Macaca fascicularis: one gene and its partner. The protein of the gene in region 2 purifies or fractionates together with the protein of the main gene of each other region. This does not show direct contact. Links are inferred from orthologs where the notes say so. Each region holds a gene or a part of one and is shown on either strand. Other genes may lie near its edges.

Evidence for each region. The genes of interacting proteins can lie anywhere in the genome.
Region 1: the proteins of AMOTL2 (region 2) and NF2 purify together in Homo sapiens (affinity purification with mass spectrometry; 5 studies listed by BioGRID and IntAct, with this or other methods). This does not show direct contact. The link is inferred for Macaca fascicularis from reciprocal best matches to the Homo sapiens genes AMOTL2 and NF2.

The regions. Positions count from the first base shown.
Region 1 is NC_088384.1:22,027,875-22,035,818, forward strand, and holds part of NF2 (merlin), read right to left. Parts: intron 5,828-7,944; coding exon 5,705-5,827; intron 3,038-5,704; coding exon 2,954-3,037; intron 1-2,953. UniProt on the Homo sapiens protein: Probable regulator of the Hippo/SWH (Sav/Wts/Hpo) signaling pathway, a signaling pathway that plays a pivotal role in tumor suppression by restricting proliferation and promoting apoptosis.
Region 2 is NC_088376.1:37,278,385-37,286,995, forward strand, and holds the start of AMOTL2 (angiomotin-like protein 2), read right to left. Parts: upstream 5,700-8,611; 5' UTR 4,938-5,699; intron 2,808-4,937; 5' UTR 2,747-2,807; coding exon 2,013-2,746; intron 1-2,012. UniProt on the Homo sapiens protein: Regulates the translocation of phosphorylated SRC to peripheral cell-matrix adhesion sites. Required for proper architecture of actin filaments.

The DNA.
Region 1 (7,944 bases), on a different chromosome or scaffold from region 2:
AATTAACTGTGTCTATATCATTCCAACAGCTGAAATACTGTAATGAATACGTTTGTGCATAATTACATTCCATGTGTTAATGAGGTCAATTCGCTTTCCCTTCCACACTTCTAAAGTTCCTTTCTGTTTCAGAAGGTTGTGGAAGAAAACAAGCTGAATATAATGGAAGGAACCAGTATGACTTACTGAAAAACTCAGACAAATGTGATCATATAAATGAAACTAGCCTTTAGTGAAAGGCAGGGCTTGCTACCCAAAGACCTCCCTCACGCTAGACAGTGAGAGGCAAGTGCAATGTGCTAACTTAGGCAGCCTGGACACCAGGGTTCCCATCCCAGCTCCACTCATTCCATTTGGCCTGAAATCCTCTCCATCGAGAAGTGGGCTATAAATTTCATCAAAATAGGCTTAACATAAAAGTATTGTGAGTTTGGACAAATCACAAATTCCTTTCTGAGCCTTATATTCCTCATCTGCAAAACAGGCATAATACTCTCAAGCCTTGGCTTCCGGAAAGACTACACTGAGTGCCACACAAAATATTCATTTGTATTGCTTTGGTAAAACTAGAAAACACTATGGGCAAGTGAGATCTTATTAATATTATAATCAGATATCCTTTAACTATTAATCAGCAGTCCTAGAAACTGGAAGCATGTCATAGTAAGCCTTAGTTTCCCAAATGAAGACTTTAAGCCATAGATTACCTTTATTTGTAAGATCCTTAAAATTTACACCGGAAAAAATAGCTAGAACATCCTCCTCCATGTGAGCCACATATGTTGTCTGTGAATCACTTTCATCTCCAAATTAGTAGGATCCAAATTAGCAGGGCTTTCCTACAGTGAAATCTGTTTAAGCAAACATCTGCTGGTTCCCTGAAAAGTGATTTTTTTCTACAGGTGGCCTTTGAATTTGTGGCCCAAAAATCCATGGAAAGAAAATATAGCCTTTGAGATGGAAGCCCTTCAAAGAGAGGTGGTGTCCTTGAGAGCCCGGGTCTACTCTCACTGGGGAGAAAGTGTGTGAAAAGGAACTCAACTCCAGGCTAGGAAGTGCTCGGATTTAATCAAAGTGCCAATAACTGCTTCATCACTGTCGGGGTGATACTGATTGAAAGGACACATTTTTCCTCTTGCTAATATTCTTGATCAAAGCATAAAAGGAAGCATATGTTTTAGTTGAATGAGGGCCCATTTTCTGTTTTCTCAATTACTCATTTTTCAGGGAAGTAGAATATGGGAGGCACAAAATGCAATCCCAAAGCCATGAATTCCGCCCTTCTGCCCTTAGCTTTGCCCAAGATTGTCTGAATGACCTTGGGCAAATCACTGACGGCAGATACTTGCTTTAGTGCCTGCCTATGAGACGGTCAACTACTCCCATGCTCCCTCCCCACCCCGGGCCTGGTGAATACTCAGCAAACATTACATGAGCCACCAAATGATTAAATTGACTTTAGTGCTTCTGTTGGTCTGACCAGCACATATAGCCTTTTCCCCCCTACAAATGACAGTTACTTCCTGGCTTTCATCTGAAATTGCATTAATCTACCCCAAAAAGTGAGCTAAGAGTATTTTATTAATTTTTCTAACCGTATAGGGAAATGACTTCATGAACACCTATAATTAAAAAGAAAAATAAGTGAAAAGATTATGTTTTAAAATCACACAAGTAAGGCTAGGCGTGGTGACTCACACCTGTAATCCCAGCACTTTGGGAGGCCAAGGTAGAAGGATCACTTGAGCTCAGGAGTTTGAGACCAGCCTGGGCAACATAGTGAGACCTCATCTCTATAAAAATAAAAATAAAACATAAATAAAATAAAATCACACAAATAATCAAGGAGTCCCAATTCTGGGGACAACATCTTGTGCTCTGGTGAAAGGCAGGGAGCAGGGAAACCAAGAGAAGGTGATATATGACTGAAGTGAAAAATCTGAGGGACATGAAACACCCTGGCTGACTCTCTCATTGGTCTTGTTAAAAAAAAAAAAAAAAAAAATGTCTAGGCCGGGCGCGGTGGCTCACGCCTGTAATCCCAGCACTTTGGGAGGCCGAGGTGGGCAGATCATGAGGTCAGGAGATCGAGACCATCCTGGCTAACACGGTGAAACCCCGTCTCTATGAAAAATACAAAAAATGAGCTGGGTGTGGTGGTGGGCACCTGTAGTCCCAGCTTCTTGGGAGGCTGAGGCAGGGGAATGGTGGGAACCCAGGAGGCGGAGCTTGCAGTGAGCTGAGATTGCGCCACTGCACTCCAGCCAGGGTGACAGAGTGAGACTCCGTCTGGGGGGGGGAGGGGGAAAAAAAAGGTCTACAGTGGTTTAATGGAAGTCAACGATTTTCAGCTAACCAGACAGCTCAATTGGGCCTGGTGGGCCACAGCACCTGCAGTGCTCAGCCACATGAACAGCTAGCATGTCAATCAGGGGCAGATGAAGCAGGGCATTCTCTTGAGGGTGTAGTGTAGTGTCACACAGGGCAGCCGGTTCACAAATGAGTTCGGAGTGAGGACCTGGGCCTTTCTGACTTAAAGGCCATGTTTGGCTAAAACTGGAGACCACAAATTCATTTTTCCTGGCTAATAGAAAGGTTGTACCACATGGTTGAGTTTATGGTAAAAAGAAAAAAGGTTTGTCCAGTAAATGTCATAAACCACATGTACATAATGAGATTACACAGAAAATTCATCTTGCTGAATGAATTCACTTAGAATGAATTCTAATTCATTAGAATGATACTTATAATTTGTGCACATCACACACACACACGATCATACAAACACTGGAACAGCGACAGTGGTTCTCCCAAGTCCACAAGTCCCATAACATCTCACTTTCTGGGGCAAGTCTCTCTGAAGTACAGAAAACCCAAAGAAAGACAAGATAGGAGTGATCCCATAACCCAAATTAACCCCCAGGAAGAATACATTTTCCTTCTTTGAGCCTACCTTGGCCTGGACGGCGTAAGAAGCCAGGAGCACAGAAGCCTCGGGAGGGCAGTAGATCTTTTCATCTAAAATCTGCTTCTTTACCTGAAAGGAGCAACAAGGGGGACATGATACTGTGTGCGTGGAAGTGAGGTGTATAGGCTGATCACAACAGATGGCTGCACGGCATTCTAATGAGGGCTGCCAGAGGAGCCTGTTAATAATTTTCTGACAAAGGATACAATATTTTTTTACTGATGCAGACAGGTGGAGAGTTCAGTCACAGAAGTTACTGGTATGACGGCTACGCATAAAAACCCCCTTACCTCTTCTCTTCATGATCAATGCTGAAGAGTAAAAATGGTCTCTGTAGTTACAATAGAGGCTGTGTGACAGAGCACCATGAACCCAAGAAGTGTCAAGAGCAGCTCTGGGGGTGACTGCAGCCTCAGTCCCTTTGAATACACACGGTCCCAGAGGAAATGGATCTACTTTTAAGTATTAACACAAGACAAAAGTCACCAAGGCCACTGAGTTATGACTGCAGAAAAAAACCATCACTCTCAACATGCTGCTCTAAGGGAAAAGGAAGCAATAAAATTTGATCGATTCAACTTTTAAGTACACGTGAGGTCCAGGAAATATAATTCTTAAGCCATAATGTTGAATTAACATATTTCATTGCACTTGATTTTCTTAGAATGGTGCAACTTGGCATGTTCCAGACACAGAAGCAAGACAACGGCATGACGTGGTAGGGGGGACATTGAAATAAACACAACAGGAAAGCCAGCTCTCCTCTCACAGATATCAACAGTCACCGGATTCATAAAAGCAGTAAATTTTGCCTTGCTCAGTCATAAAAATGCCTTAACATTTCAGTATAGGGAAAATCAAGCCAAAGTCACACAAGAGACAGGCAGTGCTTCCAAGTGCTTACAAGAAAGCCATTTCTACAACATTAGGACATTCTGGGACCTAGGAGATGGTTATGTGCTTTCGTTCAAACACAAAAATTCTTCTCAGGTTTTAAAAGCGATTTTACATTCTTAAGAGAGAAAATGAAACCTGAGATGTTTCTGAAGCAGTGAAACTTTCTAATCCCTTGGTTTCATTTCCAAAGAGAGGGGGAAAAAAGCAACACTATAGAAAAACTGAAAGAGTGTCCCTTTTTTTTTTTTGAGAAGGAGTTTCGCCCTTGTTGCCCAGGCTGGAGTGCAATGGTGCGATCTCAGCTCACTGCAACCTCCACCTCCTGAGTTCAAGCAATTCTCCTGCCTCAATCTCCCGAGTAGCTGGGATTACAGGCGTGTGCCACCGTGCCCGGCTAATTTTGTATTTTTAGTAAGGACGGGGTTTCTCCAAGTTGGTCAGGGTGGTCTCAAACTCCTGACCTCAGATATCTGCCCGCCTTGGCTTCCCAAAGTGTTGGGATTACAGGCGTGAGCCACCACGCCCAGCCTAAGAATGTCCCTTTGATTTGAAAACATCTGAAATAAATTTGTCACCTCTTTTGCGTGCGCACGCACACACACACACACACCCCAGACCTTTTTAAAAAAGAATTTAGGGGGTCTTATTATATTTAACTTAATATTTGCTAAACACAATATACTGAGGCTGAAATTAATTACAGGAGGGCTATGTGACAGACTACCCATCTATCTCTGGGAAATCACGTAATTAACGCCCCTACTGCCATCTTTTACATTACTGAAACCTTTGAGCACACAAATAGCCCCCGTGCCAATCACTGAAACTGGCCATGAAACTGGGGGACCACTCTGACCTGCAGTAAGAACATAAGTGAAACTGATAAGGTTTTCATCCTCAGACCAGTTCCCCTCCCTGTGCCTCTGAATGGTCAACTTGTAATTATGAATTTCCTAATTTCTTCAATTCGGTTGGACAATTACTTATGGAATGCCTACTGTGCACTTAATGAGCCTTGCCTTTAAGGGGCTTACAATCTAATGAGGAAGTAAGGAAGAAACAGGACAATTAAGGACACAGCATAGCATGAAGCATGATGTCTGAAGTACCACATATGGGGGACAAACTGAGTGTCACTAGAACTCTGAAGTTTTCTCTTTTTTTTTTTAGACAGAGTCTCACTCTGTCACCCAGGCTGGAGTGAAGTGGCTCAATTTTGGTTCACTGCAACCTATGCCTCCTGGGTTCAAGTGATTCTCCTGCCTCAGCCTCCTGAGTAGCTGGGATTACAGGCATGGGCCATCACGCCTGGCTAATTTTTGTATTTTTAGTAGAGATGGGGTTTCACTATGTTGGTCAGGCTGGTCTCGAACTCCTGACCTCGTGATCCGCCCACCTCAGCTTCCCAAAGTGCTGGGATTACAGGCATGAGCCACCATGCCCGGCTGAAGTTCTCTCTTAATGAGAGCGGATTTTAAACTTTCGGAAGAACTACTGCTTTATACGACTCTCTCTTTAGCCTTCCTTTGAAACGATTGAGTACTTTTAAGTTAGCTAGAAGAAAACAGGATCCATTTTCAAGGAGATTTTAAGTTAGGTAGCTACTTGTATCCATTCTTCACCATCACACCTTCACAATTTCATCTGACACCAATTTTCATCACTCAAGTATAGTTCTGTTCTGAAGACTTTTTTCCATTACAGAACCAAAGGAGCTGACTTTCCAGAGGTAGAATATTTTTGCAATACAAAGGTGTTTGTGGTCAACTCTGAGGCCAACTCTGCAACCATTCCTGGGCAAGTTCTCTCAGAACTGGGGGGTAGCCTGGACTGATGTACCTGCAAGAAGAATAAATGTTGTGTGATCTCCTGAACCAGCTCCTCTTCAGCATTCTCAGGATAAAATTTGGCCAGGAAGTGAAAGGTGACTGGTTCTTCCTTTGAAACATCATGATCCAGTACCTGCAGAATTGCAGAGCAAAAGACAAACACACTATATTGGCACTTCTTCCTCCTGTGCTACCCTCAAAGAAGCTTTTGCAAGGTGTGCATTAAATTCTTTTCCCACTAAATTTATCACATTTCCTGAAAGTTGTGATTCTACAGTTTGAAGCATTCACAAAGTCATAAAGAGGTAATATTCACTTCCCATGGTGTTTCTGAAACAAATTAATCAATAGCCCCAAGAAGTGAGCAGAGCTAGGATTAAGGCATAAATGTTCTCAGGGCCACAGAATAGTTAAAAACTAGAAATTTATCACTCAGTAGTCTTGGGCACTGTCCTTATAGTAAGTGGAAGGTTTTTTAATTATCTGAAGTAGTGGAATCTTCCTTTATTCTTTTTTCTTGCTGCCTACTGCCAATATTTAGGTCCAGGTTAGAATACGGCTTAGAGGGCCGGGCCGGTAGCTCACACCTATAATCCCAGCACTCTGGGAGACCGAAGCGGGTGGATCACTTAAGGTCAGAAGTTCAAGACCAGCCTGGCCAATACGGTGAAACCCCACCTCTACTAAAAATACAAAAGAATTAGCCAGGTGTGGTGGTGGAAGCCTGTAATTCCAGCTACTCAGGAGGCTGAGGCAGGAGAATCTCTTGAACCCGGAAGGTGGAGGTTGCAGTGAGCCGAGATTGCGCCATTGCACTCTAGCCTGGGCAACAAGAGCAAAACTCTGTCTTAAAAAAAAAAAAGAATACAGCTTAGAGATGATGAACTAGATCATTATGAAATCATCTAAACATTAACTGAGCAACAGAAGCAAAATGTGTCCATCATGGCAACCCTTTGTTTCAAGGAACCTCCAGAGATGCCCCACAAAATACTTGAAGCACAGTCTGTAAACCGCTGCCTTTAATCTTCTAACAATTCCATTCACCCCTGTAAAGCTTGAACCGTCTGCTCTCCAGAGTGAATTTCAAGACACAAACATGCCATGTGACAGGCTACAAGGCTCCATTAACATGTGTCGTAATGGGCCGGGCGCGGTGGCTCAAGCCTGTAATCCCAGCACTTTGGGAGGCCGAGACGGGCGGATCACGAGGTCAGGAGATCGAGACCATCCTGGCTAACACAATGAAACCCCGTCTCTACTAAAAATACAAAAAATTAGCCGGGCGAGGTGGCGGGCGCCTGTAATCCCAGCTACTCGGGAGGCTGAGGCAGGAGAATGGCGTAAACCCGGGAGGCGGAGTTTGCAGTGAGCCGAGATAGTGCCACTGCACTCCAGCCTGGGTGACAGAGCGAGACTCCGTCTCAAAAAAAAAAAAAAAAAAAAAAAACATGTGTCATAATGTATTTCCCTTGAGCAGCAAGTTCCATGGCTCCTGGTGCCCCCACTCAGCTATGATTAAAATTCACTTTGCTAAGAATCATGAAAAATATACAAAAAGTTTTGCTGTCTTTGACACATAACTCTCCATGCTCCTGCCCAAATTCTAGATGGCAATGCCAAGGAGATTCAAAATCTGGTCTATGATACCCTCACTGACAATGGCCCCCAGTGGCACTTAGATGCTCATGATTATTGGGAATTACCATTGAACTTACAACCAGCAGGGATTCTAACGTGATGATTTAGATTACTGTGTACATATGTGAACACAATTTGAACACTTAAGCTTTGAGTCAAACTGGTAAAAAAAAAAAAAAAAAAAAAAATAGAAAGCCTTCATTATTTATCATGTTCAGGTAGGCAACTGAGGGGGCATCATTTGGAGTAAGAATTAGACATTGACTTACTTTGAAGTTCAGGTGTCTTTTAGGAGTTACTGACAAAAGCATACAGTGCTACTCCCTACCTGCTTTTCATGGCTAGGTAGGCAGGTCAGTAAGCAAGTGTATCTCTGTGTGAATATATGAACCCATGCGGAGGGCAGTTCCCTTAGGCAATATTCATTTCCAAGCCACATTAAAATTGCCAGGAGCCCAGCTTGCTTTGCCATGCTTCAGAAGCCCCAGAGAATCCTGAGGACAAAACGGACATTCTTTCACCCTGGGGACCAGGCACTCTCTATTCCTTAGATAATATTAATGATTAATTCATGTCAGACTATGGTGTTTCTCAAAAAGACTTTTAAAA
Region 2 (8,611 bases):
CCTCGGTTTACCCTCAGTTTAGAGAATAAATGTGGCCCAAACTCTGGGTTTCCTTGGGAGTAAGGGCTGCCTCTGGACTACTGTAGTTGCTGAGTTCAGGGGACAATGTTCTATTGGCCTCTGGCACTGGTGTAACATCACCCATAGGGCTCCGTATTGAGGGAAGGAGCAAAGGGCGAGAGGCACGGGGAGTTCAAGAGCCTTTCTGGGACCTTGTGATTCCCAGTGTCACAACTGCCGCAGTTTCACAAAGATTCTTCCAAGTCCCAGAAGCCCCACAAAACCCAAATTCTCCTTCTAGGTGCATCATGTCAGCACTCATGCACACCCAGCCTGCCCCTGCCTCCTGCCCCCATACAGCCTATGGCCCCCCTGCTCTTCTCAGGACCCTAGGCTAGGAGTCTAGCCCCAAGTTCCTAACAAATAATCTTCATCAGATCATCCGAAAGGGGATATTGGGCAGATGTATTTCTCCTACTATCTAAGATGGGGCTTCCAGTAAGAGCTGGGAAGAGGGTCCCCACTGGAGTACTCAAACTCTCCATTCCACTGCTAAAATGGCCATTCTCAAGGTTGCTTCAAGAACTTGCTCCCCCCTGCACTGGGCCAGGCAGACACAACTGGCATTCTTTCGGGATGACTTGGCTCTGAGAAAGAATAGCAACTCCTTTCCCTTCACACTTGCTTTCCTTTCTCCCCGTCCTCTCCCTCCCCCGCTTTTTGTTCTCCTGCAAACAGTCTACTTCCTTGCCACGATTACTATCTTTTCCTGACAGAGTTCAATAAGGCTGGTCCAAAAGAAGAAACCACCACTCAGCTTCCGAAACTCTTCCTGACCGAGCCCTGAGAAGGGCGATAAGGTGCGAGTCTGGAGGGGGTGGAGGCTGGAGAAAAACCAAGAGGCTCCATCCTCTGTTCCGCCATACCAACCCCATCATGTCACACATTTCTCGAGAGCAAGGAAAGGCCGGACGGTGGGAAAGTGGGTGACTAAAGGAAAACTCAGCAGGCATGAAGAGAACCAGACTTTGACCTTGGGCCACCAGAGGAAGAGTCTGAAATCCTTGGGGTCCCTTGGTGGGGTTTCTTGGACTCCCACAGGGGGAGATGCAGCAGTGATGGCTGTGTCTGCTTCTCTGAAAAGATGCGGGCCAGATGAGAAGCCTGAGGTGGGGCCTTGTTTCTAGGAACACTCATTTCTCCAAACTCTCTAGACTTCTTGCCTCCCCCAAGTCTTCCTGCTTCCATTTTGGCCCCTCACAAACCATGCTCTGCATGGTAGCCAGAAAGAGCACTTAGAAAAGGAAAACCAAATCACATCCCCCGAGGGCCTCCCAGCATACTCAGAATCAAACTCTAAGTCCCTGCCCTGACCCAGCAGCCTCTCCTGAGCCTCCCCAGAAAGAGGCCCACCCGGACCCAGAATCCTGTCCCACTGCAGGCTGCAGATGCAGGAAGCGTACGGCAGGAAATGGGGAGGAGAGACAGGGAAGCTCCTGCGCTGGTGTAAGATGCAGAGACGTCTGTAATGAGGCCACCGGGCCTTTCCAGCTTCTAGTTAGGAATGCCTCCCAATAATCATAGAAGGCAAGTTGCTCACATTTTCTTAAAAAGCCTCCAGAGAAGGAGGTCCCACCTTCTTCCTACTTAACTTGGAAACAGTTTGGCAATGATTCCCAACCTTGCCTTTAGGAAGTTATTTCTGAAATCTAACCTTTAACCGCCTGTTGCGATTTGTGTCCTCTGGGGACGGTAGTTACTAGAATGCTCAAGCTCAGCAGACAATGGTGCCTATCTCTGAACTAAGGCAAGGGACGCCACTAACTTCTTAGGGGACCTCAGTTACATCTCTCTTCTCTGCCAGGCAATAGCTCTCCCTTCTCAGGAAGCCTGGAGGTGGGGTGGGGATCTGGCCAGCTCTGACACAAGCTGTGATCTTGAGGCTCTCCTCCCTGACAGCCTGTGCTGGAGGATAAGCCAGGAACTGGAAAGCCCAAGGTGGGGAGAGTTACCTGACTTCAGCGTGCTGGAAGTGCGGGCTGCCGCGGGCACGGTACCGAGGGTCAGTGACAGCAGTGGTGGTCTCATGAGCTAGTACAACGTGAGGGTACTGAGGTGGGGGTCCTCGGGACTCTGGGCCCTCAGCAGGGGGGCCCCTCAGTGGGGGGCCCTGCTGGCTGCGGGCCAGCTGTGGGAAGCTGTGGGAGGAGCTCATGTGGCTGGGGGCCCGGGCGCCGTTCCTCTCCAGGGACAACTGCAGGAGCCGTTCACTCAGGGAGCGCACGTGCCCGTGCCTCAGCTCCCGCAGGGCCTCATCCTGCCTCCGACTGCCTCCGGGGGCCCCACGGGGATCTCGGTCCCCTGCATGTGGCCGGGGCCCCACCTGCTGGGCCGCATAGTACTGCGAGTGGGCTTTGGCCTCCTCATAGGTGGGCAGCTCCTCTCCCTTGCTGGGCTGTGGGCACAGCCGGTAGAGGGTGTTCTCTGCCAGGTGGTTCTCACCGCCCTGGTGCTCCTGGCCCTGGGGCTCCTGCCTGGTGGCTTGCTGCAGCACCTGACTGTCCTCTGGTGCCAGGATCTCCAGGGAGGCCTGGGGGCTCCCTGTGCCCCCAGTTCCTGCCCCACCCCTCAGGGCCTGCTGCTGGATGGCTAGCAGCGTGCGTGTCTCAGTCAGGTTGCCATAGCGCAGCTGCTCCTGGATGAGGCGGTGCAGGACTGTCCCCGAGGAGTCTTCCAGTGTCCTCATGCTTCTCTGGCTTGCACACAGCTGCCTGGACAATGGCCGGTGGCACCTGGCCCCAGAGCACCTAGAGGAGGGTGGGGAGAGAGAGAGACAGAGAGAGAGAAAAGCAATCAGTGGGAGTCCATGGGAAAGGAGAAGGTTTTCCAGGATTTCCATTATTACTCTGGTGGAAAGCACAAAAGTGAAGAGCAGGGGTGGGGCAGGTCACATAAGCTTGGATTCAAGTACCAGTGCTGCTATCTACTGATTAAGACAAGTTATCTAACTTCTGAGCCTCAGTTTCTCCACCAGAAAAATGCAAAGAATTCTGCTTGACTCATGGAGATGAGAATAAAAAGAGGCAGTGGCCTGTGAGCTCCTGGTACAGTGAAAATCCTGGTAAACAATGACTGTGATAACATTCATGGTGACTTACTATTCCTGGAGAGAGACAACAGGAAACCAGAAGATAACGCACCAGGAACCACCGCCCGTACAGCCAGCTACACATCAAACAGCCTGATGGGCAATTCCAAGGCCGGCCTAGTTCAGATCTAACCACTTAGCTATTCAGTCTAGGGGTGGATGGGGCCCCAATTTATTGGCAGGTGATAAAAAATGCATGCAGTCCAGTAGAAAAGCCCTAGGCAAAAGGCCCCCAGGACACTCTACACTGAGGCATGCCAGAGCCCAGCCTTGGCACAATCAACCTACCACCCTCTAGCCCGCTGAACCCCTGCCCACTTTTTTCACTCTCCCTGAACCAGAGAGCTCCTGGAGGATGGGCCTGGACTCTGCTTCATCAAGCGCTGCTGACAGAATGAATCTGGGGCTCCCTGTCATGGGACGACCTTGGCAGTCACTCCACAAGGTTAACAGGAGGAAGGAGGAATTGCACCTGAATTGGTGAATAAGGGATGAATAAAAATGCTCCAAGAGGACAATGGTATTGTGAGATGAGGCAAAAGGGTGCCACCCATTAAGGTTAGTGGGTCAGGCTTTGTGCTGACAGTAACTGCAAGAGAGCTCCAGGAAAAAGAAAGGATGGCATGATGTCTTTGATTTTATGATTATCCTCCCCAACACACACACACACACACACACTTGCTACTTGGAAAAGCCCCCACTGGTCCTCTAGGCACATAGGGGACAGGCACTCAGCATCTTTCTTGACATCAGTGTCAAGGAAGCCCATCTTGACTTGGGCTAACCGGAGAAGTAAGGGGAGGTTGTTGGATGAGAGACCTGGGGCAGAGGAGAGGGGACTGTGAGCCTAAAGTGCTCGGAGATAATATCAGAGAAAGGATTTCCCTTCTAAGTCTGGGCTCCCAGTGGCTCATGGACTGGAAAGCTGCCTGCCTCTCTCACCCAGCTTCCTTTCCACAGCCTCTTCCAACACAAATCTCCAAACTGGGTTCCAGGGAAAACTAAACAGAATCCACACTGCCACAGGTCCTGTGTGTGTGGGCAGCGATTGGGGGATGGGTGGGAGGAATGTGGCCCCTCCTCTGCCACTAAACTAGCCCTAGTGTCCTGCTTCAGTTTGGGCTATGGCATGTTAGCAGAGCAGTCATTCCCAATCGTTCCCTTCTCCCCACCCCAGGGCTACAGCTGCCCAGAGGTGGGGAGTGGGGGATGAGTCTGGAGGGCACCTCTGTACCCATCCTTCCTGGCACCGAGTCATGCACTCCCCCCCGCCCCCGCACACAACGAGGGGTAGATGTGCAAGACTCCGGAGCTACCCGAGGCAAAGCAAGCAAATGGGATTCAATTCGCATGGGATTCAGTTCGCCCTGGAGTTTTATCTGCGGGCATTTCCTAAGATAATCACTCTCTGGGCCGACTCCCACAGAGGCAGGGGAGCGGCAGGAAGGAATGCGGAGCCTTCCCGACAGATTCCAGGCGCTCCACAGTGTGCCCGGACTGGGAGCAAGGAACACCTCCAAGGCCTCTCATCGCGAATTTGTCCCGGCCAAGCCCCTCAGATTCACGTCCTTTCAGACACCAAACGCCTGAGCCTTTACTAAAACCTGCTTCCTCGCCCCCGGCCGCGCCCCTCTGCTGCGCTCTCAGAAGGCCGCCTTTCTAAGCCAGCGCGCGTCTCCAGCCTTGGCCTGGGGTCCCGCTCGCCTAAGGAACCAAAGTGACAGTCTCCAAGCTAGGAGACTCTCGCACCCCAGCCAGGGCTCCCGCCCCACCACGAGCCCGGGCGGACCTGGAGCACCGAAGGTCGCTGGTACGCCTGGGGCGAGCCGGTGAGGGTAGCCCGAGGCCCGGAGAGGTCTTTAAGCATCGCGGGTCCGCCTCCCTCCTTCTCGAGCCCTCTTTGTTTTCCAAATACTCTAACGCTGACGTCACCGGGCTGGACAGCAGGCTGCATTCTTTCTAAGTGAGAGCCAATTCGTGGCTCCAGAGAGGATTTTCCAAGGAAGACAAAGAGGAATTCTTGGACTGGTTGGGGGCAAAGGCACCTGTAACCCCCACCTAACCAAATCAGCCCGCAAGACCCTGCAACTTGAGCTCCAAGCGGCGCCTCCATCCCTGTCCCCCGCCACCCCCACCCCAGCCGACCCGCAAACCGAAACACCGTCGCTCTTCTCTCCGGAGTCGGCCTGCTCCCCTCTCCCCCAGCCCCAAGGGACCCGCGCGCTTCTAGAGCCCCGCAAAGCCCAGGGCGCTGGGCTCCCCGCGTGGAACGGCTCTTGCCCAGCACTGCGGCTGCCTCGAAAGGGCGCACTGCGCCCCGAGGACGCTCGATCCTCGGGGCTCCGACTCCCGGAAAAGGCCGGGCTGCGCGGAGACTACAGCTTTGGCTGGGGCACGTTTCTGTGGCCTCGCGCGCTCTCCCGAGCGCGGAGCAGCCTTCCTTACCGCTGCGGCCCGAGGGTGCCCGGCGCAGTCAGACACCACAACCTCCTGGTCTGCGCGGCTCAGCTCGGCGGCGGAGATGTGTTCTCGGCCGTGGCGCCGACGCTCTGGCTGTTCGCGCCCCAGCGCGCAGTCCCAGGGTCGGCCCGCGCCGGAGGCGGCTGCTATGCCAGGAATGTGAGAGTTTCAGGTTCCCCCTCGGGATCAAAGCGAACCACAAATAACCTCTCAGCGCGCCGCCCTCCTCCGCCCTCCGCCTCCTCCCGCTCCCTCCTCCCGGCCCCCGCCTTCCTCCGGGGAGGCGGCGCTGCTGGCTGAGCGCCGGGCCGGCCCCCGAGCTCCGTTCCTCCTCGCCCAGCGCCCTCCAGGCCGCGCTGTGTCCGCCCCTGCCCCCCCGTTTTGCCTTGGGAGCTGCTGGAGACAATTTAATCCAACTCGGCTTATTATCGTCTCTACTCCCAGTCGCCGACCCGCTCTCACCCTTCATCCCTAAACCTATCGACGGGACGACAGCAAGGGCTGTACCACGCGTGTCCCGAGGTTGCTGCGGGAGGGGGCTCCGGCTGTGTGTGTGTGTGTGTGTGTGTGTGTGTGTGTGTGTACCGGGGGAGGGGGGAAAAGGAGGAGGGACTGCAAAGACATCCATATCCTCTGGGCTGGGAGAGTGCCCCGGGCGAAGTGAATGCTTCTAGCCACCCAGCCTCTTTCCCCTAACTCCCGCTGCTTTCACCCCCAGCGGCAACTTTTGAATTGCAGTTGTGTTTACAAACACCTTTGCCAGCTCTTTTACGACCTGTCTCCACAGGAAGTGTGAATCTGGGTTGGAAAATCCGGTCAATTTGACCCACCTACCCAACTTAATCACCCGTCGTCAGGCGCTCTGTCCAATTCTTCCCCAAGGTGATAATAGGCGCCCCTTTACTCAGAGCGCAAGGTGTGCCACCGTTGGCTTTTCGCCCAGCCATCCGATTCAGCCCTGCCAAGCCACCCTTCAACGGCGTTCTGTTATCATTCCTGTGTTATAAATGAGGACACCAGGGCTCAGAGAGCTTAAGCAGCGTGTCCAGAGTCACACACAGCGAGAACCAGGTAATCAGCCACGGGGCTGCTTGGTTTCTTATTCTCAGAACCCCTCCCTGGCTATCAGAATCCAGGCTCCCTAGATGAACAGGGCAGACGCTGGGAGCCCTCCTCTATTCACCTGCCCTGTCCTTGTTTTAGTCTCTTTTTTACCTCCCCATACACCCCTGCCAGCCAGGGGGTTTCCCTTGTACCCACTTCGGTGGCTCCTGCGTGGAATCCTCTCCTCTGCCCCCAGGACACTTCCTCTGCTAGGTGGAAACTCCTTCTTCAGAAAGCCTGCTCTGACACACTCTCCCCGTCCCCGCCACACAAGGCCTCTCTACAAGTCAGTTGGGGTGAGGTGGGGGCAGTCGGGCCCTGTCCACCAGGATAGTCAGGGCTGATTTCTACCCCTGGCTAGGTCCTCCCCTCAATATGGAGTTTGCAAGTCCCAAATTCACTGGAGGCAACCAAGGACAAGGAAACTCTGCAAGCTTAATTGCCAGGGACATTGTTAATTTTTAACGAAACTCACAAAAAGTGTGTGTGTGTGTGTGTGTGTTTTACTTAGAAGCCAAACACTGTGTTTCAAATAGTGATTGAATCTGAGATGATTGAGCAAATGGATCATTTGTGCCAAGCTAAGGGATATTTGGCTTTCCAAGGATCCCCTTACAAAGAGAAGCTGTGATCAGTATACCGCTGTAGGTAGGACTTTTAGAAGTGAAAGGAAAGAGGTATCTGAGTGGCCTTACCTTATGGACAGTATAACTGGTGGAGGCAGGGGAGTGGTTGTGGACATGTGAACTCTGGGGCTGTAAAATCGGGGGAAACACGGCATGGTACAGTCCTGTCTTTCAGGCATTTGGGAGGATGCCTGACAAAATGTTTGACAAATATTCTTGAGATGGTTGCAGAAGGGCGTCAGTTCAAGGCAGCTAGAGTGGAGGAGGTACCTTGGAGCCGACAAGCCTGCTGCGGAGGCACACAGGCACCCATGATTGCTAATTTCTGTCCCCAAAGGGACAGAAGCGGGAGAGGGATCCCAAAACCTAAATGAGAAATGTGCATGTACTTTTATTTTTCCTTTCCCTTTCTCTCTGCAGAAAGAACGGAGGGCACGATCTCTCAGGCACGGGCTGCTGGGAGGCTCCGTGGAACCTGCCTAAGCTGGTGGCCATCCCAGCTCTGCAGGGTGGTTGGTTGAGAAGGTGACCACCGTTGAGATGTGCCAGAGGCAGGTATGCACAGGGGACGCTGGGCGGGCCAGGCTGCTTGCCTACGAATCTATCTTCGCTTACAGCAGAGGGGAGAGAGGCTTCTTAGTGAGCCAGTGCTTTCTTCTTCCACTTTTGTCTCAGTCTACTTTGTCCCTTTCTCCTTTACCTCCTCTCTTCCTCCTGCAGGTTATGATTCTTCCCAGATGACAATGTGGCTGACTGGGTCAGGAATCCTACCCAGGAAAGATGCGGAGGTGACCTAATTCTCAGAGTAAGCCAGGCTGGAGGCCTTTGCTCTGGGAAGTGTAGCTCCTTGGGGTGTGGCTGTATCATAGGTGTGTACATGGCTTAGCAAGGGATTCAGGCACCCACACCATCGCCTCTCCCTAGCCCGGGTCTGGGTCTGGGCCTGGTTTATGTCCTCAGTCTGGCCCTGCAGCTGCATCTCACTGCACCCAACCAGAACATGAAAGTGAGCTCTTGGTGGGACCCTAGTAGCCTCCTCTCATACAGCTGGGAAGGAAATGTTCCCCTTACTTCCCAAATGCTTGCTTAGTGGAGGAGAGCTCCAGGGTGCAGGTGGCAAGATCAAAGGATGACTGTTAGTTATGAAATTCACTTTTCCAGCTTCCTCTGGACACTCCCTCTGACAGGTTATGGGAACAAGAAGCCTACTGGAGCACGAAGCAAATTCATAGGAAGAATCTGAACATTAGGATGGAAGTTCTAGTGCTCCAGT